Linked DNA regions of Oryzias latipes. The protein of the gene in region 5 interacts with the protein of the main gene of each other region in a pairwise test. Links are inferred from orthologs where the notes say so. Each region holds a gene or a part of one and is shown on either strand. Other genes may lie near its edges.

Region 1 (4,797 bases), on a different chromosome or scaffold from region 5:
TCTATCTATCTATCTATCTATCTATCTATCTATCTATCTATCTATCTATCTATCTATCTATCTATCTATCTAATCTATCTATCTATCTATCTATCTATCTATCTATCTATCTATCTATCTATCTATCTATCTATCTATCTATCTATCTATCTATCTATCTATCTATCTATCTATCTATCTATCTATCTATCTATCTATCTATCTATCTATCTATCTATCTATCTATCTATCTATCTATCTATCTATCTATCTATCTATCTATCTATCTATCTATCTATCTATCTATCTATCTATCTATCTATCTATCTATCTATCTATCTATCTATCTATCTATCTATCTATCTATCTATCTATCTATCTATCTATCTATCTATCTATCTATCTATCTATCTATCTATCTATTCTATCTATCTATCTATCTATCTATCTATCTATCTATCTATCTATCTATCTATCTATCTATCTATCTATCTATCTATCTATCTATCTATCTATCTATCTATCTATCTATCTATCTATCTATCTATCTATCTATCTTATCTATCTATCTATCTATCTATCTATCTATCTATCTATCTATCTATCTATCTATCTATCTATCTATCTATCTATCTATCTATCTATCTATCTATCTAAGATAGCACAAGGGTTAAAGATAGGGTGAGGAGCTCGGTCACCTGCAGAGAGCTCGGAGTAGAACCGCTGCTCCTCCACATTGTGAGGAGCCAGTTGATGTGGCTCAAGCATCTGGTCCAGATGCAATGGTCACCTCCCTTGGGAGGTGTTCCTTGCATGTCCCACTGGGCAACAAAAATGGCGAGCAATACTGGAGCTATCCAGTTGTCCAGTTTTGATCCAGATGCCAGATCAGACAAGTAAAACAAAGACATACATGAATCCAGTCGACAACAAGTGGATCCATCAGAACTCAGCAGGGAGGTAGGTGCCAGTATTTTTGTCTGCTCCTGATTAACAACAATTGGAATAAAGAAACACTCAGAAACCCAATTTGAAGCCTAAATATCTTAATTAATGTTCGCCATCTTCCAACAAATGCCACAAGAACATGTTAAAACACTAAAAACACAATCTTCATCTGAGTGGGGTTTTAAATGGTGATTCTCTTGAACAATTTTCAAATAAAAGATGAGAAAAAGAACAACATTTTCTTTCTGAAGGCACAGTGACTTTATTCTGATTAGAAAACAGACAATGCAAATAAAGAAAAGTATTAAAGAAATAGCAACAGCAGAATTGCAGCTACAAACATGGTGTTTTAAGAGTGACATAATACTTAAATCCTGTTTCATGTGCGATGATTGGGTCTCGTAATTTAGAATTAAAAGAAGAAAGAAACACAATAGCAAAAATCTGGATTATTTATTCAGTAACAATGTAATTTTAGAAACTACAAAAACAATAAAAATAATAATATTAATTTGTCAAAAGATTATATTATTCAATATACCTTTTCAAAATGTGGAATAATATTTGGGTATTTAGTACCCAAAGGGATAAACGTACACTATTTTAGGAATCATTTACTTGATTTTTTTTTGTGGATTTTTTTTAGCTTTTACATTATTACATAGGATTTGTCCTTCTCGGCCACCGTATGATGTCGTGGCGTTTCCCTATGTGTAGAGACTAGACCTCTGATTATTTTTAAACTTTTCATTGTTTAATTCTTCGGAATATACTGTGGACATTTTCGGCTTCAGTGAGTAAGGATGAGACGCGCTGGTTTGGGTAAGAAACGAGTCTAAAACTGGGAAGTTTCAGATCGCTAGCCAGCTAACATGGTAGCTAGCATTAGCTAATGTTGTTTTCACTGGTGGATGGATGCAACACTCTGAGGCGTAGTTACATTTTTAATAAGGCTCTTGGCTTTATTCTCAGCATTTAATATTGTTTTTTGTTGTCTTGTGTAGGTGAAGGAGGCTCCGGGAATTATGTGGCGAGTGGCTACAGTGTTTATGAGGAGGAAAATGATCATTTACAGGAGGGACTGAGAGCTAAAGTCAGCGCCTTGAAAAGTGTAAGACCAGCTGCGACACAAAACTGTGCCTTCGTCTGTCACTATTCACTTGTTTCTGTTACCAATTTCTAGTTTTAAAAGCTATTTTACAAGTTTTACTTATCTAACAATCAATTCCTGTCTCTTGTCATTCCCAGCTGACTATTGATATTGGAACAGAGGTTAAATACCAGAATAAGATGTTGGAAGATATGGTGGGTTTCTCTTTGTATTTAAATGGCAAAGAAGTACCTTTACAGTTACTCTAAAGTCCTCACTCCTATGAAAAATGGTTTTAACATGTTCTTGTAGCAGCTTTCTCATGATGTATGGCATAAAAAGAAACAAAGATTAAACTTGTGTTTCTGAGTATTTCTTTATTCAAATTGTTTTAAATCGGGAGCAGACAAAAAATAAATCAAGCTTGAAAAAGAGTTTATTTTTGCTGTAGAAAATTGATTCTGGCTAAAAACAGCAGAATCATAATTAAAAGACAGAGGGACAATAGCTCAAAGAGTGGGATTTTAATAGTACCGACTTAGTAAACATTTTCTTGGATTTGAAGCGGTTCCTGATCCCCCCCTCATCTCTTCACAGGACTCGGACTTTGATTCTACAGGCGGACTGTTGGGAGCCACCATTGGCAGAGTAAAGCAGCTGTCCAGAGGGAGCCAGACCAAACTGCTCTGCTACATGCTGCTCTTCTGCCTTTTTGTCTTCTTTGTCCTCTACTGGTTCATCAAGCTGAGGTGATAAGAGCATCTTGTTGGACTTTGCCCCTTAGCTCCACGTCTTCATTCCCATTCACTAGCAGCTCTGACCTAAAAAAACACTTGTTCAATTGGTTAGGTGGGGATTTTTTTCTTTCGAGCATCATTTTGTTTCCTGATGTCCCCTAAATGAGCCATGAAAGGGCTTGAAATAGAAAATAGACAAGAAATAAACTTTGAAAGTGTTCATCTTTAACAAGGCAAATGACCCAGGAAAGCACCTTGTATACCATTTGTATACCTAACACATTAGTATTTGTGTTGCACAGCTACAGCTCAGTTATGATTAAACAAACAGGATCCACAGTCCAAGATACAACAGCTGCTGATGAGTTATTTTTTGTAAATGAGGTTAAGGTGGTTTGAGCTGTGGAATAATTAAACACAATTTGGTGTACTTATGTCAAGGAGGGAGTTGATATGGACAGGTTTGAACACAAGTACGGTAATTACAACTCATGTTGATGAGTTTTGGACAGCCAAATGAATTAAAGGCTGCCGATAGTCCTAAAAACCTAAAATCACAACTAAACAATTCAGTCTTAAATGCTGCCAGAGCAAAGTTTCCATAATAAAACACAATTTCAACATTGTTTTTTGCTATTTTAATTCTTCTGCCACTGATTTACAAACTATGAGCATAAACATTTGTTATACAAAATTATGTCAATCTTATTTCAACTGTTCAGTCCCATAAATGTGGACACACACAGTGCAGCACATAAGGGACACGTCTGTATTACATCACCTGACATTGTAAATCACCACAGAGACCTTCATTCTTGAGTAAAAATGTAAATAAAAACAGATTTTATGGCATCGTTTGTGTTTCCATGCTGGATGTGTTCAAAGCGTTTAACATAACTTCATCAATAAAAGAAGCAAACAATTACAAGAGATTTCCAAACTAATTTTTTTTTTACAAATATCTGAACAGGTCAGGATGGTTTAAAATTGCACTCTTGTATTAATTATCATCGTCTGAGCAGGAATCTGCTGCAAATGACATCACTTCCGGGGTAAAGTGTCCATGAACTTGCAGATTATTCCCAGCATCACCTCATCAGCCCCGGCGCCGATGGACAATAACCTGGAATCCCTGGAGGAGAGAGAAAAAAAGCAACAACACACTTCTGTAATTAACTGTCACTCAGGTGCTCATAAGTCCAGTCTTTGCATGAAAGTTCAACTTCAAGTCTCTAGTCTGTCAAACTTTAAATTAAACCGCAAATCTTAAGACTTGCAGTAAAAAAAATGAACATTTATTTGGTAATTAACTAGTAACCCTTGTGCTATTCTAGGCACTTTAATATTGGGAGTTGGGTCATCTAGACCCACTAGACAGTGCTCTGAACCTTTTTTCTTCAATGATTTGTGATCTTCACTGGTGTCCATGGATTAAATGAAATCTTTCCACCTTTGTCGTGGTAGGGAGAACACGTCAAAGTAAGGGTGGGGTCATCTAAGATAGCACAAGGGTTAAAGCAGACAGCTGGTGTTTCAGTCCAAGAGGCTTTTATTTTTAGACCTAACAATGATTTCCATGTAAACAAATGAACCTTTTTTTATAGGTCTAAAACCTCCAATTCTTGAGGTTGAGTCTTAATTCATGTAAGACCTGAGTTTAAACCCCATCTTTGGTACCACTTGATGCTATAATAGCTTCAAGAGAAGAACTAGTAAGTTAACACATTTCTTCGTTTCTCCATTAGGTTATTGTAACCATAGAAACACCCAATACATTAGCATAATTTACCCTCAGATGTCAGAGTATTTATAATGTTTATTGTTTGATCTTTACCCTTTTTGTAAAATAAACACATCAAAACCGGATGGATTTTCTTAAGTAATCGAAGTCTCACCTGTAAAATCTGCTAACCATCACATCACTGGTGAAGCCCATGCCTCCCCAGTACTGAAGACAGCTGTCACTCAGTTCTCTGGCCAGGCGGCCCCCCTTTAATTTGGCCATGGATGCCAGTTTTGTAACGTCGTTCCCTTTAATGTACA
Region 2 (4,996 bases), on a different chromosome or scaffold from region 5:
CTTTTTACTTTCTGTAGTTGCAAAAAAAGAGATTTGTTTACGATTTTGTTTATTCAGTTTATTTAGAGGCATTTATCATGGCTACAGGAATTATCAATACGCAACGCAAAGCTCGTTTCTGCATCGTAAAATAGTTTATGCGGTGTTGAGTGATTCAGACGTAGCACTACTGAAAGCCCAGGGCCCTGTTCCAGAAAGCAGGTTATGTGAGCTACCACAGTAAGTTTGAGGCTAAGGAAGTTGATAACCTCAGCTTTCAGTTCCAAAAACAGAGGTATGTTTCAGGGTATGTCAAGTTGCCATGGCAACTCATGCTCTGAACATAACCTGGTCTGGAGCAGGTTTAGTTGAAGGTTAGTTTGTTTTCAGAGAGGTGAAGCAGCATGGCGTGTCCATTTGAAGATGATTTAGTGGATGAAGAAGCTCAGATAATACTTTTTCCACAGTGAAATGGTGATAAGACCACATATGGATGTTGGAAAGATAAACTTTTTTACTTTGATCTAACTTAATTATGTGCTTCAGTTAAGAGAAATCATTTTTAAGTCAGCTTAAAAATAACACGTAGTTATCAGTTATTTTACTTTCATTCAAATTAATTCAATTAAGTAGGTGTAACTTTGGTGCTGCTGTTAGATCGGCACCGCAAGGGATTGTGGGATACCATTCACTTTGCCTGTCTGGACGGATTTGGGTTCAAGTGTGGTTTTTTGACAAAATGTGTTTAGTTGTTTAGCTGTTTTAATGTGTTTTACCAAGTTATTTTACCCTGTTATGTTTAATTCTTTCAGCACCATGAGGGAGAGGGAGGAAGAGGATCACGAGTTTATTTAGAACCTTTACTGCCCAGTGGAGGAATATTTAAGTCAGAGAACAGACTTCATAATGTGGTTCCATTTTGTTTCATTCATTTTATTGTTATAAAAATGAGAAAATCTGCAGCCTCTTAGACATAGGAGAGTTCAAGAATTGCAATAAATTAAGATTGAAAAACATTTAATTAAACTGGAGTAATATGATATTTAGTTAGATAAATATGTAAATTTGAGTTGTAAAAAGAAATATTGAGTTGGATAGACGTAAGAAATTAGGTTGAATAAAGTAATAAGTAATTCATTTAAGTTGGATAAGTTATATATATATATGCGTCACAAGAATAATAGAAATAAGATCAGAAACTATTGCTTTTACTTTGTCCGTTATTTTTCTGCAAGCAGAAACTCTTTTTTTTCCTTTTTTCTTTTGATGATGCAGCCGTGTTACTTTTTTGATGGGTTTATAATCTTCATACGCCGTCATTAATCTCAGACTCCGTCTCACTGAATTGTAGCGCTCTCTTTTTTTCACCACGCGTTTCCATGGTGACTCCGGAAATCGGTGATCCATTGAGAATGTCTTTATGTACTTGCTGTGCACGTGCATTAACCCAGGGTTACCAAGTCGAGCGTAATTACGCTAACTCATATCCGGTCTTTTGGAACCAACATACCCAGAGTAAGCAAGTTCAGGCGGATTTCAGCCAGAGTTCAGGATTAAAGTCAGGGTAGTTTTAATATGCTCCCTGGAATACCCCCCTGGTTATCCATGTCTGGGCGTCCTATTTTTATTTGGTGCACAGGTCGAGACGCCAAGATGGCAGCACGCACTCTGTCTGTCTGTTAGCGTCCTGTGAATGAATGAGTTTATTTTTATTTTTTCTTAACGACTTTTAAGCTATTTTAGATTATAATTTATAGTTGTTTCTGGCCTTTCTGAGAATGGTATTTTGTTTATCAATTACCGTGCTTGTTTTTAGAAAGGCTAGCTCCGAAACTCTGTGAGTCAAAGCCTACTCGATTCATTAAGACCCAAAACCAGGGTTGGTTCACTGATATTCGAAGGAACGCTCCATTTTTTATTTTTATTTTTTTTATTTTTATTTTTTATTTTTTCGACGATCATGAACTGTATGCGGTCATCATGAAGATTATCACCGGGTGATCGTCGCTGGATTCCTGGCGTGACTAACCTTGACGGGCCTTATACTTCATCAATTAAGGGAAGTCCCAATTTACCTTCTATCGAAGCTGGCGCACTATTGTATATATTTTTGCCAAAGTTGAGATGCTGATGCCGTCCTGCCTTCCTAGCACCTGTGTGATATGCCCTATCCGAAGCAGATCCAGGAGCGCTTGGCTGGTTGATGAGCTTGCTATCTTTGTGTGAAGGAAAGTGCTTGATTCAACCCTCGGATCGTGTGATCTATACCCATTTAAAGTTGAACTAAGCTTGGGCAGTAATTTCGCTCTTTTTGCCCGCAGCTTTCAAGCTCCGTGTTCCTTGCTGTTTGTGTGGCACGTCACGGGAGGACGTCTGACAAAAAACAAAACAAAACAAAAAAAAAAAAAAAAAAAAAAAAAACGGCTCTCGGTGTATCCCGAACTGGATTCTGGCAGATATCTGGACTGAAGGCTGCCATGGCCAAAGTTTTAAATACCTTCCTTCAAAGCCCCCGGCAAATAATATCAAGGGCTGAAATATTCTTCCTGCTAACATTGGCCTTATATTCCATCGGAGACTTTGGCATTGCCGTAGCTCTTCGGGAGTCAGATGACTCCCGTCCAGTGAATCCAGTGTGTTGTGTATTTCATGCTGGAACAAAAACTTTTATTCATGAATGTCATAATGCATACGCATCTGTGTGTCTCTCAGACAATCCAAATGAACTGCTGCACCTCAGCTGTGTAATGGTTCTTCAGAAGAATTTTACTATAAACTCTACTATAGCATTCTTAAAAACGTTCCCATCTCTAGGACCTTCAAATGCAGTATGTAAGAAACCACAACTTCAAAGACGCCTCATCTTCTTATTGTTGTTAATCTCCGGGAATATTCCACCAAACCCTGGACCAGATAGTCCTACTTTTAGTACTCCTGAAGACTTCAAATCTCGTAATGGTCTTGGATTCATTCATCTCAATGTAAGGAGTTTATTGCCTAAAATGGATATGATACGCATTTGGGCAATTTCAACTGAAGCAGATGTAATTGTTGTTTCTGAAACATGGTTAAACAAATCAATAACTGACTTTGACATACATATCAATGGTTATAATGTTTTTAGGGCTGATCGTCCCAAAAGGGGGGGAGGTATAGCCATCTATATCAAAACTAAACTTAATGCAAAAGTTCTTCTGCAAACATCAATGGCAAAGAAATTTGAACTTTTAGCTCTTGATCTGGAGATCTCTAATTCTCTGCATATTACCCTAGTTGGTTGCTATAGAGCGCCCTCTGCTGATGGCTCTGCTCTTCCCTCTTTAATGGAACTGCTGTCTTCCTTAAAATACAATGAAGTTGTAATAATTGGAGATTTAAACTGGAACTGGTTGCAAGCTGTTTCTGATGATTTTAAATCTTACTGTGATTCCCTGAACCTCTTTCAATTAGTAAATGATCCTACTCGACCTAACCCCAAATTTCCGGAGAAATCCTCGCTAATTGATTTGATTCTTACAAATTCTCCTTCAAAGTATTCAACTGCTGCTGTATTTGCAAATGATATAAGTGATCACTGTATCATTGCTACATCGAGAAACACAAAAATGCCCAAAACCAAACCACACATTATCATAAAACGCAATGTCAAGCAATTTTGTGAACAATCCTTTTGTCAAGAACTATATGAATTTGACTGGCACACGATGATGGAAATTGATAATGTTGAAAGGGCCTGGAGTTATTTCCATAATGAATTTACAAAAATCCTTGATAGACATGCTCCTATCAGGCACTATAAAGTGAAAGGTCGTAATAATCCGTGGTTTAGCTCAGATTTGGCTAACCAACTACATGAAAGGAATGTAGCATGGGCAAAAGCTAGACATTCTGATAATGCATCTGACTGGCTGGCATTCAGAAAACTACGCAATGCTTGCACTACTGCAATTCGAAATGTGAAATCTGACCATTTTTTGAAAAATACTACAGAAAATTTAAATAATCCCTCAAAGTTTTGGAAGATAGTTAAGTCCCTAAATGAAAATAATTCAGGTATTGAGCTCCCTTCAAGTATAATGAAAAACACTTGTAATATAACAGACAAGACAGAGATGCTTTTATGTTTTAATGAGCATTTTGTTTCCTCTGGATCATTATTTAATTCTATAAAACATTCAGCTGAGTACTCCCTCCCTGTGAATCACGAAGATTTAATACATAATTTCTCATTTTCCCTCTTCACAACTTCAGAAGTCTCAGAAGCCCTTAAACTCCTTGATCCTACTAAATCTGCTGGTCCTGATGATCTGGAACCATATTTTATAAAAGCGGCAGCAGACTCTATCGCACTTCCACTGACCTATTTATTTAATTTGTCTTTGTCCACAAACACCATTCCGCATGCTTGGAAGTCCGCTTATGTGTTACCTCTACTTAAAGGTGGTGACCCAACAAATTTGAATAACTATAGACCAATTTCCAAGTTACCCATTTTGGCAAAAGTTTTGGAAGGTCTTATAAGCGTACAATTAAAAGAATTTCTCATTTCAAATAATATTTTAAGCCCATCACAATCAGGTTTTAGAAAGCAACACAGCACAACAACCGCAGCTCTTAAAGTTTTAAATGACATATCTGAATCTCTGGATGACAAACGCCACTGTGCCGCCCTTTTCATCGACCTCTCTAAAGCCTTTGATACTGTGGACCATGCTGTGCTTAAAAATAAACTGCGCAGTATTGGGCTGTCAGAGCATTCTGTTGGGTGGTTTGCAAACTACCTGTCTGACAGGACACAGTGTGTAAAGGTTCAGAACCAAAAATCAAAATTTTTAAAAGTATCCGCAGGGGTTCCACAAGGCTCGATTCTTGGGCCACTGCTTTTTACAATCTATATAAACGACCTTGATAAAGGTATCATCGATAACCTGCACTTATATGCTGATGATACCATCTTGTACACTTCAGCACTTTCAGTTGAGCTTGCCATATCAAAGCTCCAATCAGCTTTTAATCA
Region 3 (4,469 bases), on a different chromosome or scaffold from region 5:
AGCGGAGCCTCCAAAGAGGAGTTGGACTGGACGACTAATGAACTCCGGAACAGCCTGCGCTCCATTGAGTGGGACCTAGAGGACCTGGATGAGACTGTCAATATCCTTTAAGGCTCACTCTCTTTACACCTCCCTGTTTTTGGGGTTCTGGGATTGGAGCTCAGCACAGAGAAAGCATGTTCCTTAACACATTGCAAACGCATAGTAGAGTCAAACCCAAAGAAGTTTAATCTGGATGCAGCGGAGCTGTCAAAGAGGAAGGCCTTCATCACCAGCACCAGACATATGGTCAGGGTAAGCCTCCGCCACACCTCAGATGTGAACTCGCTTTGGGAGGAACCCCAAACGTCTGCAGCACGGTGGTCTGGTTCCCTTCGGTTTGGTCAGTCTGGTAGTTCATTGAAATAGTTGAAGACCAATGGCTCCTCCAAGTACAGCCCTCAAAGATTTTAAAAGTAGAACTCATCACATCTGGAGAGAATGGTGGCCTGACGCTGGGCAGCATAACAGACCCCTAAACTAAAAAGATGATCTTTACTGTTCAGCTGTTTGCACACATAATGAATGATTATCCTTTAGAAAGCATCCCCTCCACAGGAACACATTTGGTCTGGAAAGGTTTGGTTTGTTTTTTAATAGCAGCAAAGACATCAGTGGGATAATGTCACGTGTCACGATTCCCTAACAAGGAATACTTATTCTAAACAAAACAACATGTTACAGCTGTCTGAATGGTGGGCCTGACAGAGTAAAGAGGGAGTTTTGTTGAGTCCATCTAAAAACAAAAAACAATACAGAAAGGAAGGCCTTCATAAAATCAACTTCAGTGATTTTACAAAAAATAAAGCACAAAAGATCTTTCAGACAAGACGGTAAATATATATTTTTAACGTCTTATTTTAACACTATATTTAACTGAAAGCTGATTTAGTTCTGGGGAACTGCAGCTTTTTCAGGAGTGCTTCAGATTTACGAGGGGGGGGGGGGGTGCTATAGCACAGTTTACATCAGAAATCTAACCATACATGCCCCATTAGTTATTTTCTTAACACGGATCAGTTGTCTTGGACTCCTCCCCCCTGGCGCTCCAAACAGGAAGTACCCGCTGGTTTCAGGAAGTCCCATAGAGCCTATAGAGAACTAAACAGCTGTTATTCAGTCATCCTATTGGCCAGAAGAACCATTCTGGATCTGATACCTTTTTTAACATCTTCTTGATAATCCAAATTTAGTATTTTGTATTTAAACTTATTCAAGTTACAAACGGACCAATCAGATGCCTCAATAAAAGTAGGAGGAGCCTGCTGGCCCCCAGGTTGAACGTTTGACAGATTTTCTGTAGCTCACGTTTAAGTGTTTGGTGTGAGTGGTTACCATAGAAACGATGACTCAGACCAATCACTGCATACTGTTCCAACATGGTGGCGTTTGTGTTGGGGAAAAAACGTCAACAGAAGGAAGTAACCCATTTTCTGTAGATGACGACACACTTCTCACTCCTGTTCTCCTAAACAGTCAATAGTTTTGAGGGTTTTTAAACTTCAAACAAAAACTTTCATCACTTTGAATCCAAGCTTTACTATAAGATATTCTTAAGTGACATGAGAGGACAAAGAGAACTTCTTATTTCTGATCAAAATTTAAAAACCTGTTTACACAGAGTGCCATATAATTATATCCAACTTTTTTTTCATAAAATACATTTTTTTAGTTCTGGTTCATCGCTGTTGTTATAAGAGTGAGACGCCATGACCAAGTTTTCTGTAATGAACCATAAATCCATGTATGTGACGTCTTCACTTCGTGACATAGTCTGCCGTTTCTTTTCTAGGAGATGAAGGAGCAGATGTCGTCTCCAGGAACGGCTTCCTTGGACGGGAAGAGCAAACAGGTACCAAGTCTCTCTCCTGGTTAGACAAATGCTACCTTTGACAGAGGATGACATCATGAAACTTTGTCCTAAACTCCAGTACAGCGCTCCCTCGTTTATAGCGCGAGTTACAATCCCCTGCTATAGTTGTCATCCACAAAGTGGGGGATCTATTTTTTACAATAAGCACAGATGCTTGAAGGCAGTAAAACTCCTCACTACAGACTTTATCCCTGATATCTCTCCCCTGTTTTGTCTCTCATAGTTGAAGTTTACATTTGAAGGCAATTACAGGCCTCTGAACCCACACATTTAATGGCTGATTGAACACTTCTGTTGCTCCACTGTATGCTTTTCTTTTGTGTTCAGGCTTTGCTCGGTGAGCGTGGAGCTCAAGGACGCATATGGCAGCCCGGTTCAGACAAATACCGCCGTCTTGACCATCAGCTGCAGAGCGCCAACAGTCAGTTCATTGAGGAGGCACAGGTGCAGCAGCAGGTACAGACGGACCGAGAACAGATGGGGGCATGGAGGTGATGCTGAGCCCAGACCAAACGCTGGTGTGTGTGTTTCAGCTGATCGCAGAGCAGCAGGACGAACAGCTGGAACTGGTGTCTGGGTCCATCAACGTTCTCAAGAACATGTCTGAAAGAATCGGCGTGGAGCTGGACGAACAGGCTGAGTAAGAACCACAAGCTGACCCTTTAAACACATTAATGCCAAATATGACATCACCCATTTGCCAACGTCAACACCTGATAATGGCTGACCGTTTATGAATCTGCTGTGTTGTGATGGTGAAATTGTGGATTAATTATAAAAAAATAAATGTAAATACTTTTTTTAATTAAAAATAACAAGTCGTTCAAATGCAATGCATTGAAGTCTTCCAGATTTTGGAATAGTAGATTTGCCCAGCACTACAGAAAGTGCACTGTGTAGAGAGCAGTGAAGGAGTTCAGTCACAGTCTAGGGGTCTTGATCAGTGCTGCTCACTCCTGGTCGTCCTACCACCCCGTCTAGAAAACCCAGTTTTCTACATCTCTAATCCCTGCTTGGTTAACTCAGTCAGGTGCTTCCACATTCTGATTGAATAAACACACCTGGTTCAGGTAAAAGGTAGCATGATTCGGTTCATTTAGAAATGAAGGACTCAATGTGTTGCTGAGAGCTTCAAGACTTACCAGATAACAGCTGTAACAGAAGCTCACTTCAACAGCATATAAACAGGTCAACTTCGGTACTATATGTGTATTACACAGCAGATGTTAGAAGGAGCCACAAAGTTAAATTGTTGCCACAATCAAATAAGGGAAAAATAATTACAATTTTGCCCCTCTCACGATGCCGTTGTGGAAAAAGGGCTCATCAAAATCTGGTTTTGGTCCTTCTTTGCCAAATTCTAGTTGTTAAGCTATAAAGACAGGAACTGTTAAATAACAAATTTCTTGTTTTATGGTAATTGCACATCATGTTCTTATTGTGAAAGGGCCGGTTGGATGGGATGGGTCGTTGTTGTGTTGATGATGGTGGAATGAATAAAGAAAACGTTACGCTGCGAAGTGAATTTCAATTTTGTTTAACATTGGTAGCAGGGGATGATTAGCAACTACAGAGTCCTACAAACCTTTGACGAAGGAAAACCGTACAAAAGTTGGAAAAAATAAGTTGGACCCGAGTTACAGACCTTGAAAAGAAGAAGCAAGCACTCTCCGTTCCTTTGGCGCTTTCTTCTGGGCAAGCGAGAGACGTGGCGATAGAAATATCAAAGGAGGATTTGCTCAAGGACACAGGACACGTCACTAATAAAGCTAGATGATCGGTTTCTCAAAGAACAAAGACCGGACCTACTCAAGTTTGGATAACGAGAGACAGTAATGTATCCGTGACGGATTAGATAATTGATTTTGAACAGCGGTATACTCAAATGTGTACATACAAGAGGGATCTTCCGGATGCAGTATGAGCATTTTGTTATGTGTGAATAGATTTAGTGTCTCTTGGATGCTGTGCTTGCTGAGTACAGCAAGACTCATCTCTGTCAGCAAAAGAAAAAGATCTGCTCACGCCCAAGATTGGACAAATTCTCTGGGTTGCAAGGCAGAGTCGACCAAAAGTCTTGTTTGATGCTTTAAATCCATGAAACGAATAGAACGGTGTGCAAACTGAAATCCAGTGAGGTGGCTCTGAACTTTGAGCTTCTAGGCAGGGACTCAGCCCTCAAGATGAGGGTGTTCAGTGATGCCTCATTTGGCAATCTTTCAGATGGAGCCACTCAAGAAGGAAACCTGATAGTTCTAATGGGAGAACGTGGAAAGTTTTCACCGCTCCCCCTCAAAGAGAGTGAACAGAATTGTGAGGAGCACACCTGCTGGAGAAACACTGGCAATGTCTGATGGAACTGACAATGCACCGTTTGCAGCAACACTGTTCTCTGAACCAACGACTGAACACGCTCCACCCATAATCTGTGTCACAGATTCACTGGCTGACGCACTGAAGTCTGTCTGGAAAAAAGTGCCAACTCATCCAAGCAGAGTTGAGCGAGTGTTGTGGTACAACGTGAAAGAACAACTTGCAGACTGCTTTACCAAAAGGT
Region 4 (4,965 bases), on a different chromosome or scaffold from region 5:
TGCAATTTTTTCTCACCTAAGTACACCGCTTTATCTTTCTGTTTTACACGTTTAGTGTTGTTCACACACAAAACAGGAAAGTATTGACACCCTATAAATATCCAGACTCGTTAATTACAAATTTGAAGACACTTGTGATGCTAATAAGAGAAAATCCCTTTGGTTGTTGATTGATTTTTAGTAAATTCTTATTTAAACTTTACATGGCAAACAGCAGGGTACTCATTACCGTCTTAAAGGGCCCAAAGAACTTTACAGTCACAGTCCCATTCACCCATGCACACACTGTTAGTGGCTTCGCTGCCTAACACTAGCCACCAGGAGCAAGGTGGGGTTCAGTGTCTTGCCCAAGGACACTTAGACACATGGGCGGGAATCGAACCTGCAATCTTTCGATTTAAGGTCAATCACTCTATTGGTGACTGTTGTGGGTACCTAAAATTTTGTTCAGATATGTCTAAAAGCTGTCATAATGACAATACTAATGTCAATTTACCGTTATGAAAGGTCAGATTTACTCGACACGATGCAAAAAGAAGCAAAAGCAGTCGTATTTTTAGAAAAACCTCTCTGCTCTAAAAAAAAGTTGATATTGTTGGTAAAAACCAGCTGGCAGCGATCAATTTGAATTCAGTGGATGTTCCCGATCTTCTGTTTAGATTGTGTCACTGCAATAACAGCACTGCTGTCCCCACACCTGACACTTTCCTGCTCTAAACACTCAGAGAAATCTGTGGCTATTCATCAACCTGTCAGCAGCAGCTCACATCCATCATCCACTTTCCATCTTTCCCCCCTCTTTGTTGCTGTCCTCCCCCACCGCCCAACACACACGGGCCATGAAGGTCCCCTCAGGCTGACACACTGCCTGAGCTCAGGAGAGATTGCACAGGTATCTGTGAACGATGAGGCTGCCTACCATCTCCTCCAGTCACAGTCATTTCTTCTTCCTCTCACACATTTTACTAGGGAAATGTATGAACGCTGGGGGGGTACAAAGTAACTGGCCTATTTCATGTCTGATCGGAGCAACAAAACTTGGCCGCTCATGTATACACATTGTTTATTTTTAATGCCTTGGTCCTAGTCCAAAAAATAAACTGCAACATCAGATGCTTTGAAATGAGGCTAATGTTTAACTGGCTTTCAGTGGAAAATAACATCTGGAGCAAGTTGCAATCCAAATGATCAATATTAAGAACTTCTAAAAGTGATTGATTAAAATATAATAATAGGAACGTATATTAAAATCTGAGATAAAGGGGAAGTGTTCACTGTTCTTACAGGATCCTTCTGTCATAATTTATCTATCGCCTCAATTTGCAGAGAAGCTGCGTTTTAGTCTTCTACGCCTTGTCTCCATTTTTTCTTACACACTGTTGTCAGACATCACACCTGAAATGTTCCTCCTGCAATCTGCAAACTGCAATCCACATTCACTGAAAGCATTTATGTTGTGCTATACCTTCTTAGAAGGCCCAAATGCTCTACAGTCATAGATCCATTCATCCATGTAAACACACCCTCACGCTCTGTTGTCGAACACTGGTGCTAACTTGTAACCATCAGGAGCAATGTGGGGCCAGGCAGGGGATGCAGAGAATATATAGACAGATGAAGGCAGATGATTCACTGTGGTGACCCTGGCTGAAGGGAACAACTGACAGGCAAAGAAGAGGGAACAAGTATCTATAAAAGGGTTGCTTCTTTACGGAGTTATACGCTTTTTTTTCGTTCCTGTATTTAATTATGCTTTTTTTATTTCTTTTTTTTAATTTTCGGTTTTTAAAACTAATTGAATCAAATTTCCCTTCGTGGTGACGTTCGTGAGTATCTTTACCCACAATGCACAGCGACAGAGCCACGTAAACAGAACAGAGGAACTGGAGTATTTTAAAGCTGCACGTTGTTAGATGTCCGCATGATGTTACATTTTTTCTCCAGGTATCACTTTTTTAGTCAATTGTATTTGTTTCTCCGACATTTGCTGATTTCAATTTATATCCCTTTGCTTTTGTTAAAATAGTTAGCAACGTCATGTACCTGTACTTGCATCTTGCTAGCAGCTAACGCTAGCTAACCTGCCAGACGATTAACCTGGTCGCTTTCTTTGCATTTTAGCCCGCATACTTTTGCTTTGTATTTACAGTTTTGCACATCAGATCCAATTTATGCAACGTCCCAATGTACACGTTTGTTGTGTAGAAGTTTTTTTTCTTTCTACTTCTAAGAGCTAAGCTAAGTTGCTAATTCTCAACACTGGATGTGCTGCTAACAAGAGAGCTATTGTTTATGTCATCAGTAATATTCGTTTGTGCAGTTTGGAGGAAGTGTTTACTTCATAGCGAAATGTCCCCATTTCTGTTGAAGATAAATTTCGGGAGAGAAATCACTTCCTCTTTACTTTAGGGTGTCTTCACGTGGCTACGGAGCTATCCATGGTTCTGACAAACGGTCAGTGCTGGATCAGCATCTTATGTCAAAAAGAGTTGCTTTAGCTTTAATGTGAAATCCTTTAATATATATATTCACTACAGAGGAAACTTTATAACAGACGAAACTTAAAATATGCTAACATTTCTGACATACAGATACTGATCCAGACATTTCTACCTGTAAAAGTTTACCTGTCCAGTTAAGTCAGTCATAGACCAGATGGATATACAAACGAGTGAAGGAGACCTGTAAGCATTATATACCTGTGTCTGAGCACGTTTTATTTCCTGCTTTTCCCTCTGTTTGCAGATCTGCAGTGAGACATCCAAAGCTCTAACATGTCGATGGTGTTGTTTGCTTCGGTGGTCCGAGTTGGAGATGGTCTTCCTCTCTCAGCATCAACTGATTATGAGATGGAGAAAGAGCTTCAGGAGACAAAGAGACACCTCAAAGGGCTTTCAAGGAAGCTCAACCAGTTCCCTGACCGCTGCACACTTAAGTCTGGACCATATAATGTAAAGTAGGTCTCATTCCATGCTTTTTCTGCCCAAAAAAAAAACGTTTTACTAGGCGACCATATTTAAGTAAATTAGGCATTAAAAAAAGATATTTGTTAGGATTTTCACTTCCAAAACAGGCCCTGTTGAAAGAAGTCAAAATTCTTTCCCCACCGTCAGATTGTCTTTTCTTAAAAATAAGCAAAAAAAAAAAAGAAAGAAATCTGCCAATTGGATCAGAAAAATGGTTTAAAGAATAATTCCTATTTTAAGAAAAAAAAATTCTAGGCACAAAGACATGTTTTCTCAAACTCAGATTATTGCACTTTTGAGAAACTTTCTTGATAATGTTGGGTTTCTTGCAAGACAGAAAATGAGACATTTTTTCTGAAACAAGGCTTTTTATTTTCTTAGGATTTAGTGTTGCGGTTTGGAAAACAAAGCAACTGCTTCACAGAACAGTTGTAAACAACAAATATGTCACCTTTAAAAAGTAGCTAGTAGCTACGTTGTGGCTTTGGAAATGGCCCGGCGTAGCAAACCCTTAAGTGGTGAGGAGTTTGTAGAAAGAATGTATTCTGAAAGCAGCTTACATTGTTTGTCCAGAGCTAAAAAAAGTCTGTCAAATGATACAATTACTAGACGAGTAGAAGATCTGGACAGCAACCTCCGGGTTAAATATCTGGAGGGCCTGTTAATTGTACAAACAACACTTGGTCATTAAAGTTATTAAAAACAACTTTTTCTGTTTATCCATTTTTTTTTTCACCAAAATTGTTCCCCAGTCTAATGTCAAGTTCTTAATTTGGCCCTCTGCGACAGAAACTTTGAGAACCCCTGCTCTAAGTAATACTTAGATTAACTCAGCACCATACATTATAAAACTACCATTTCTTCTTTTTAAAGAATTTCACTCGTCACGTAGCCTGGCCCATCAGATGGGTGTAAAGGCGTCACATCAGAGTATCAGCTTTTTTACCCTTTAACACCAGAGGCGTTGCTGCTGACACATTTTAACTCACGCCCTTTGAGAAAGTAAATCTTTGACCAATCAACGTGAAGGAACTGTTTCTGACGGCTTTGCGTATCATCTTTGCACCGTAATGCAACACATGACTTAAGTGATGCATATCAGGACAAACTGCTTTTCTCCGCTTCAGAATTACGTCAATTGCGTAAACGGTTAAAGAGTGCTTGTTAAAATGTTTTAAACACTGGAACTAAAGCTCTGATTTTGAAGGCTTAAGTTCAAAGATTTGGGTCCTCCCGTGACTTTCTTTTGCTGTGAGGTCCGTGTTCTCTGTTTAAAAAATTTAAGAAAGATTTCTAGTCAGTCTTTTGCGTAATAAAATGCCCCTGTCAGATTTTCTGTACTCACAACATAAAACTTGATTTTGATTTTAAATTCAAGAACTAACTGTCGTCACGTCTAGAAGCCTTTACTGCTTCAATCTAAATCAGACTGAAATGTATGTATGGTCTTTATTTTTTGTTTTTTACACCAAGGGTACATTAACACAGGTTTGATTTGCACCAGGGATGTTTCTTTTGGGTCATTAGCTATTTCATTGTTTTTTTATTATTTAAATATGCAAACTGGGTCCTCCCGAGAGGAGGAAGGAGTGTCTCAATCCACCTCAGGGTGAAGGGAATGAACGACAAAAGCACAAGATGTTACGAGGGCTAAAAATAAACTGACCAGTTTGAACGTTTTCACTAGAATGGCAACCATAGTAAACCTGGTGTAGTGAGGACCTACAGTCCTTTATTACTACTGTTGGTTTTCTTCTTCTTGATGAAGTGCACTGAGAGTAACAATGTTTTCTGGATGTTCTGTGGGTATTAGTTTCACCAGCTCTCTGGGTGTTGGATATCTGATGGTGTGCACTGCGAATTACCCAAACGTGCTGGCATTCTGCTTCCTGGACGAGCTACAGAAGGAGTTCATCGTCACCTATGACCCCAAACGTATCAGCAGCGCCGTGCGGCCATACTCCTTCATTGAATTTGGTCAGTCTTAAGGAATTTCACA
Region 5 (5,001 bases):
CTAACTTGTGATGTGATGATTAAAAGGGATTGATGGTTCAGGAGAGATATTTTGGGGATTCACTGTTAAAGCTTAAATGTCGATTTGTTTTGTTTGTATAGGAACTGGAGTGGGCAGGATCACACAGTGTATTGTTTTCTGTTTGTTTTATTACCAGAATAAAGGGAGGCTTCTCTCCAAGAGGTAACACTGTGTCACACCATATATTAACCAGCACAACGCAGAAAGCGACCGGTTACACTTATCCTTTTGGGGTACAAGGCTGCCCTCTATACCTTTTGATGAGGACAACATCTTTGGGAAGCTCAATGCATGACAGTGGGTGTGTAGTTTAATCACAGGCTTTATGCTGATGATTTGGCGGTCATGCATCTTTGTTCTGGCACTCTTCAGCAGCAGTTGTTGATGGTTTGCACTCAAAAAATCTGCATCAAGTTAAATCCCAGAACAAAGAGGTTATGGTTAGCACTAAAATCTAGAGATAATGTGTGGCACAGAAGATAAATCATGTTCTTCAAAGTAAAGCAATAAGATTTAATATATGTGTTAGAAAAATGTATATACCGGTAAGTTATCTCATATTTGCTTTTATGTATTACCTAGCTCTATAGGTAATATAATCATACATGCAGAAGTGTTTGTGTCCAAGTTCTGTTTCACAGGAAGGTGAAGGTGAAACTCTTGGGAGGAAACCGACTATCTTAGCGTCTTCCCAAGATCAGCATGAGAACTATGTGGTATCTGTGTCAAGACCGGAATCAAAGGACGCTCTGTGTCAGTTATCCGTGAGAAAAGGCTTTGCAGGTCCAAAGATGATGTGGGGAGACTGTGATAAGATGGACATGTTGCAATTAATATTTTCTGATGGCGCTGCAGTTGTGTTCAATCTGTCTTCCACTCCTTAGAGCTCAGCGCATGTGTAATTTAGGGAATTCCCAAAAAACTTAATAAAAGAGGAGGCGACAGAATATGTGAAAGAGTGGAGAGAGATTGTTGCTGGGTATTATCTCTGTTCACTCTTATTTTAACTCTTGTTTTAATTTTTAATTTGACAAAATGTTTGATTCATATTATTTTGTTCATATGTCAAATGAACAACAAAGTATTATGGCCACTATAAAAGCAGAAAAATTAACATTTATATATGAAAAAAGGTGTAAAATACAAAAAGTTTACATTTTAGAAGAACTAAGAAAACAATTACTACAAAAACGTCATGCAATTATCAAAAAGAAATTTTACAATTTTCAAGAATAAAGTCATATGTTTAAACTGTAAAAACTTGCAATTTTCAAAGAGATGTCATGCTTTTTTTCTTAAGTAAAGTGTTAAATTTAGTTTTTAAAAATTTTCAACTATGACAATTAAATGGTTCCTGTTTAAATGATGTTGCAGAGAAATTTGATGAATATCTATCACTTTGATTATGATTTTTTCTTTTTTGTTTTCTTTTTTGTAATTGCACAACTTTAGTTTCATGAAGTTATAACCTTAATTTAAAAAAACATGACTTTTTCCTTTTTAAATAATACATTTTCAACTTTATTTTTGGTAAATGTTGACTTTTTCCCCACAATTTTACGACTTCGTTCTCATATTTATATTATAATTTCATAATCATATTTGCTATTTATTCTTATTGTCAATAGTAATATAAAATAATAGTATATAATCATAAGTAATATAGTAATACTCTGTCAATTCTAATACTCCGTCGTACAAATATAGTATGGTTCTGGCTATTCCAATTGAATTAAACCAAAGCAGGTTTTGTTGCCTGTAGTAAAGGTGTCTGTCACAAGGGGGCGCCATCGATTAAATTCTGTTTGTTTGAACCGCAGAGGAAGAACTGTGAGAACTGTTGCTCTGGAGTTAAACTTGCTGAATGACAGCAGTGGAAAGTCCGCAGCTTTTGTTGCTTGGGAACCGTTGTCCTTCCTCGGCCGCGTGCTCGCAGCGTTTCCGACACCAACTCTGAACATCGACATCAAAAATGCGGGATCGAACAAAAGAGTTAGATAATGTAAGTTTTAAAGTTGGTGTGTTAGCAATAGCGTTAGCTTGCTAACCTAGCTGTATTGATTGTTTAAGTGAACTTTGAAATGCTTCGGTCTCTGATTATTTATTAACTGTAAGCCCGCATATGAGAGCAAAACAATATACCCCCCCCCCCCCCTTATTTTCTACGCTTGGAAGCACTTGTGGCGATATTGCTTTGCTAACGTCCGCTTGAGTTCTTCCTCCAAGGAAGCTGTCAGGCCGGGATAAGGGCAGGGCTCCCGGCTGCAGATCTGAACCGGCACCTTCACACAGCTCTGTTTCATCCTCCTCTTGTGTGTTTCTGTCCACCTCACCGCAGAAAGCCGAGGCCTCAGATGAGGAGAACGAGGAGAAAACGGCTTTGATGAGCAAACCTGGCAGCTCTTCAACAAAGGAAGATAAGGAGAATGAGGCTTTTTTCAAAAAGGTGATCATCCAAGTTTTCGATCTGGGCTCCTCCAAATGATTTGTAGTATTATCAGATACCGGATGTCCTGGGAAATGCTCCTCCAATGGGCCTCTGCTTCATGTTTATGAGACAGAGGACAGAGCTGAAGGTTTAGCTGTAACACACACAATTGTTTTGCCGACATTAAATTCTCCTCTAATCCCAGAACAAAAGGAAAGTAAATAAATATAAAAGGTCAACTATGAAGCTTTAAATATGAGTGAAACATTAACGGACAACAAACACTGGCCTGTATGTAGGGCTGCACTTAACAATATAAATAAAAGACTTTTAGTGGAAAAATGCAGATGTCCATAAAGTTTTGACATTTTAGTTGATTGTAGCCATCTTTAGTGTGTAAGACCTCCACTTATTATTTGATGCTACAGTTTACCAACTGTCCACGAAAGCAGCATTACTTTTACAGTGAGGGGAAAGAAATGCCATGTTTTATTTTGAAAATCTCTGAAAAGAAAGTTTAAATAAAGTGTCATAGAAGCTGCTATAAATTATGATCATGATGTTCAACTTGTTGCAAACTGTAGTTATAATGATCTAGAAGAGAAACATTAAAACAGAAAGAAGTAAAGAGAAGCATTTCCATATATTATCACGGTTTAACTTTTTAGGTTTTTTAAGTTTTGATTGAACTTTAATTGTTTGGAAAAAATAATTTCTATGCTAAGCATTTCCCCCCCCCCAAACAATAAAAGGGCTTTAGCAACAGAAATCCTCTTTTCAGGTTTTTATTTTAGTTTGGCTGAGTGAAAGAGTCAGACGGACACCAACAATAACACACAGTTGTTTATCCAACTGACTTTTTTCTCACATTAGAAAATCTTAGGATACTTTTTGTATCAGTTAAATGAAACATGTTCAAAGGTGTTGGTTTGTAATAATGGTGTTTCTATTTTCTCCAAATTTCTTTATATTTTTAAAATTCAGATGTTTTTCTTTGAGGGAGGCTGGAGTCAGATACCATCAAGATGGCAAAAGTTTCTGAGCATGTCTTTCAATCCAAACCATTTGTGAGGAAATCAAAATAAACTAAGTAAAGAGAGATGAAATCATAAAGTCAAGGCAGTTATGGATTTTATTTAAAGTCAAGGATCCATTATGATCTATAAACCTTGAGAAGATTCTAAAATAAGAGTCAGCAGAGGGATCTTTGTTCTAATATTTCCTTGGATTTCTTTTTTTTTTATACAAACACTGCATTTCCCAACCCATTAATTGAAGTTTTCTGATCAAAAAAGGTCAGGATGTTACAGTTGCAGTTAAAGCTGTTTGTCTGGGAAGATGATTTTGCCTGTTAATCCTAAAACTTTACAAACTTCTTTCTAAGGTGCAAGAAATCCACGAGGGGTTGCAGAACTTAAAGAGGATGGTGTCAGAGCTGGAGAACAAACAGAAGACGGTGCTGGGCGTGGCGCTGCCAGAGGAGAGTACGTCAACTTTATGAATTTGATAAATTCGTGTTGCATTTTGTAACAGAGGATCAGTGTAGTTGCACTTTAGGATTAGAACGACGTTTCTCCAGATTTTTCACAGGGATCCCACCAGAGTAAGGCGGGGCTAGTTGGGGGCGCCTTTCCAATCAGATTTTTAGGCTCAATGAGGGCACCAAATATGTTACAGATTAGTTTTCTCTATTGGATCGCAGTGAACATGTTTTTCTTTGTCGTCTTCTTCCAAAATGCAATTAAGGGAGCTCCTTTCATGAGGGTGTCTGATGCTTCTCTGCTGATCAATCAACTCCTGATTTAGTGATTTTTCTCAGTGGCAGATACTTTAGCACACAAAGGTGGTCAAAAATGAAAGGAATATAATAATAAAAAACAATTTTTTAAAAACATTTTTATGAATATCTCCTTGTACTTTGGTTTGTTTTGGGCCAAACACATGGCAGGAGCCCACAACTTGTTTGTACCGTCCAAAATGTCTCTGCTGGAGCTGTGAAAGAAATAAGAAATACAAACATAAATTCCTCCCTTCTCTCTGTCTTTAAATCCTAACGTTTACTCACAGTATCAAGACAAAAATAAATCATAAAAAAGAGGACAATTATTTTGACATTTTCAACACACCCTTCTTCTTTCTCTTCTCCTTTTTTGTTGTTTCTTTTTTTTTTGTGGTAAATGTGTTGAACTGATGCAGCTAACTTTAGTGGTATTTCGTAGATTTCCACACATCTTACAAAAAAAATGTCATCCTGAGACTCCAGTTGCATTCAATTTCTGACGTTGTGTGTTTTATTTCGACCACGGCGTGCTGCTCAGAAAACTCTCAAACTGAGGATCTGTGCTCATGAATGCTGTTTTCCTCTCGGGTTAGGTATGAAGAAAGAGCTTCAAACTCTTCGAGAAGAGATCAAAATATTAGCGAGCCAGATCCAGAGGAAGCTGAAAAGTGAGTATTTGGGAGTTCAAATCAAGAATTTTGTCTTCAAACCACTTAAGTTTCTTCTCGTCTCAACTGAGGTATTGAATCCAAAAAGTCGGACGATGATGGCA

Evidence for each region.
Region 1: the proteins of syntaxin-4 (region 5) and bet1 interact in binary tests that used the Homo sapiens proteins (3 or more experiments, as listed by UniProt). The two-hybrid records come from large-scale screens. The link is inferred for Oryzias latipes from reciprocal best matches to the Homo sapiens genes STX4 and BET1.
Region 2: the proteins of syntaxin-4 (region 5) and vamp4 interact in binary tests that used the Homo sapiens proteins (3 or more experiments, as listed by UniProt). The two-hybrid records come from large-scale screens. The link is inferred for Oryzias latipes from reciprocal best matches to the Homo sapiens genes STX4 and VAMP4.
Region 3: the proteins of syntaxin-4 (region 5) and syntaxin-6 interact in binary tests that used the Homo sapiens proteins (3 or more experiments, as listed by UniProt). The two-hybrid records come from large-scale screens. The link is inferred for Oryzias latipes from reciprocal best matches to the Homo sapiens genes STX4 and STX6.
Region 4: the proteins of syntaxin-4 (region 5) and sec22a interact in binary tests that used the Homo sapiens proteins (3 or more experiments, as listed by UniProt). The two-hybrid records come from large-scale screens. The link is inferred for Oryzias latipes from reciprocal best matches to the Homo sapiens genes STX4 and SEC22A.

The regions. Positions count from the first base shown.
Region 1 is NC_019869.2:10,286,158-10,290,954, reverse strand, and holds bet1 (BET1 homolog), read left to right. Parts: upstream 1-1,588; 5' UTR 1,589-1,730; coding exon 1,731-1,749; intron 1,750-1,931; coding exon 1,932-2,038; intron 2,039-2,175; coding exon 2,176-2,232; intron 2,233-2,614; coding exon 2,615-2,770; 3' UTR 2,771-3,673; downstream 3,674-4,797. Other genes in the region: probable acyl-CoA dehydrogenase 6, read right to left, coding at 3,796-3,886, 4,650-4,797. UniProt on the Homo sapiens protein: Required for vesicular transport from the ER to the Golgi complex. Functions as a SNARE involved in the docking process of ER-derived vesicles with the cis-Golgi membrane.
Region 2 is NC_019862.2:3,864,987-3,869,982, forward strand, and holds the start of vamp4 (vesicle-associated membrane protein 4), read left to right. Parts: upstream 1-1,495; 5' UTR 1,496-4,996. UniProt on the Homo sapiens protein: Involved in the pathway that functions to remove an inhibitor (probably synaptotagmin-4) of calcium-triggered exocytosis during the maturation of secretory granules.
Region 3 is NC_019862.2:1,649,457-1,653,925, forward strand, and holds part of syntaxin-6, read left to right. Parts: coding exon 1-100; intron 101-199; coding exon 200-294; intron 295-1,831; coding exon 1,832-1,891; intron 1,892-2,239; coding exon 2,240-2,368; intron 2,369-2,445; coding exon 2,446-2,552; intron 2,553-2,558; exon of another isoform or gene 2,559-4,467; intron 4,468-4,469. UniProt on the Homo sapiens protein: SNARE promoting movement of transport vesicles to target membranes. Targets endosomes to the trans-Golgi network, and may therefore function in retrograde trafficking.
Region 4 is NC_019879.2:4,520,391-4,525,355, reverse strand, and holds the start of sec22a (vesicle-trafficking protein SEC22a), read left to right. Parts: upstream 1-1,805; 5' UTR 1,806-1,944; intron 1,945-2,745; 5' UTR 2,746-2,774; coding exon 2,775-2,956; intron 2,957-4,779; coding exon 4,780-4,943; intron 4,944-4,965. UniProt on the Homo sapiens protein: May be involved in vesicle transport between the ER and the Golgi complex.
Region 5 is NC_019877.2:19,255,509-19,260,509, reverse strand, and holds the start of syntaxin-4, read left to right. Parts: upstream 1-1,831; 5' UTR 1,832-1,993; coding exon 1,994-2,023; intron 2,024-2,359; coding exon 2,360-2,467; intron 2,468-3,833; coding exon 3,834-3,933; intron 3,934-4,822; coding exon 4,823-4,897; intron 4,898-4,968; coding exon 4,969-5,001. UniProt on the Homo sapiens protein: Plasma membrane t-SNARE that mediates docking of transport vesicles. Necessary for the translocation of SLC2A4 from intracellular vesicles to the plasma membrane.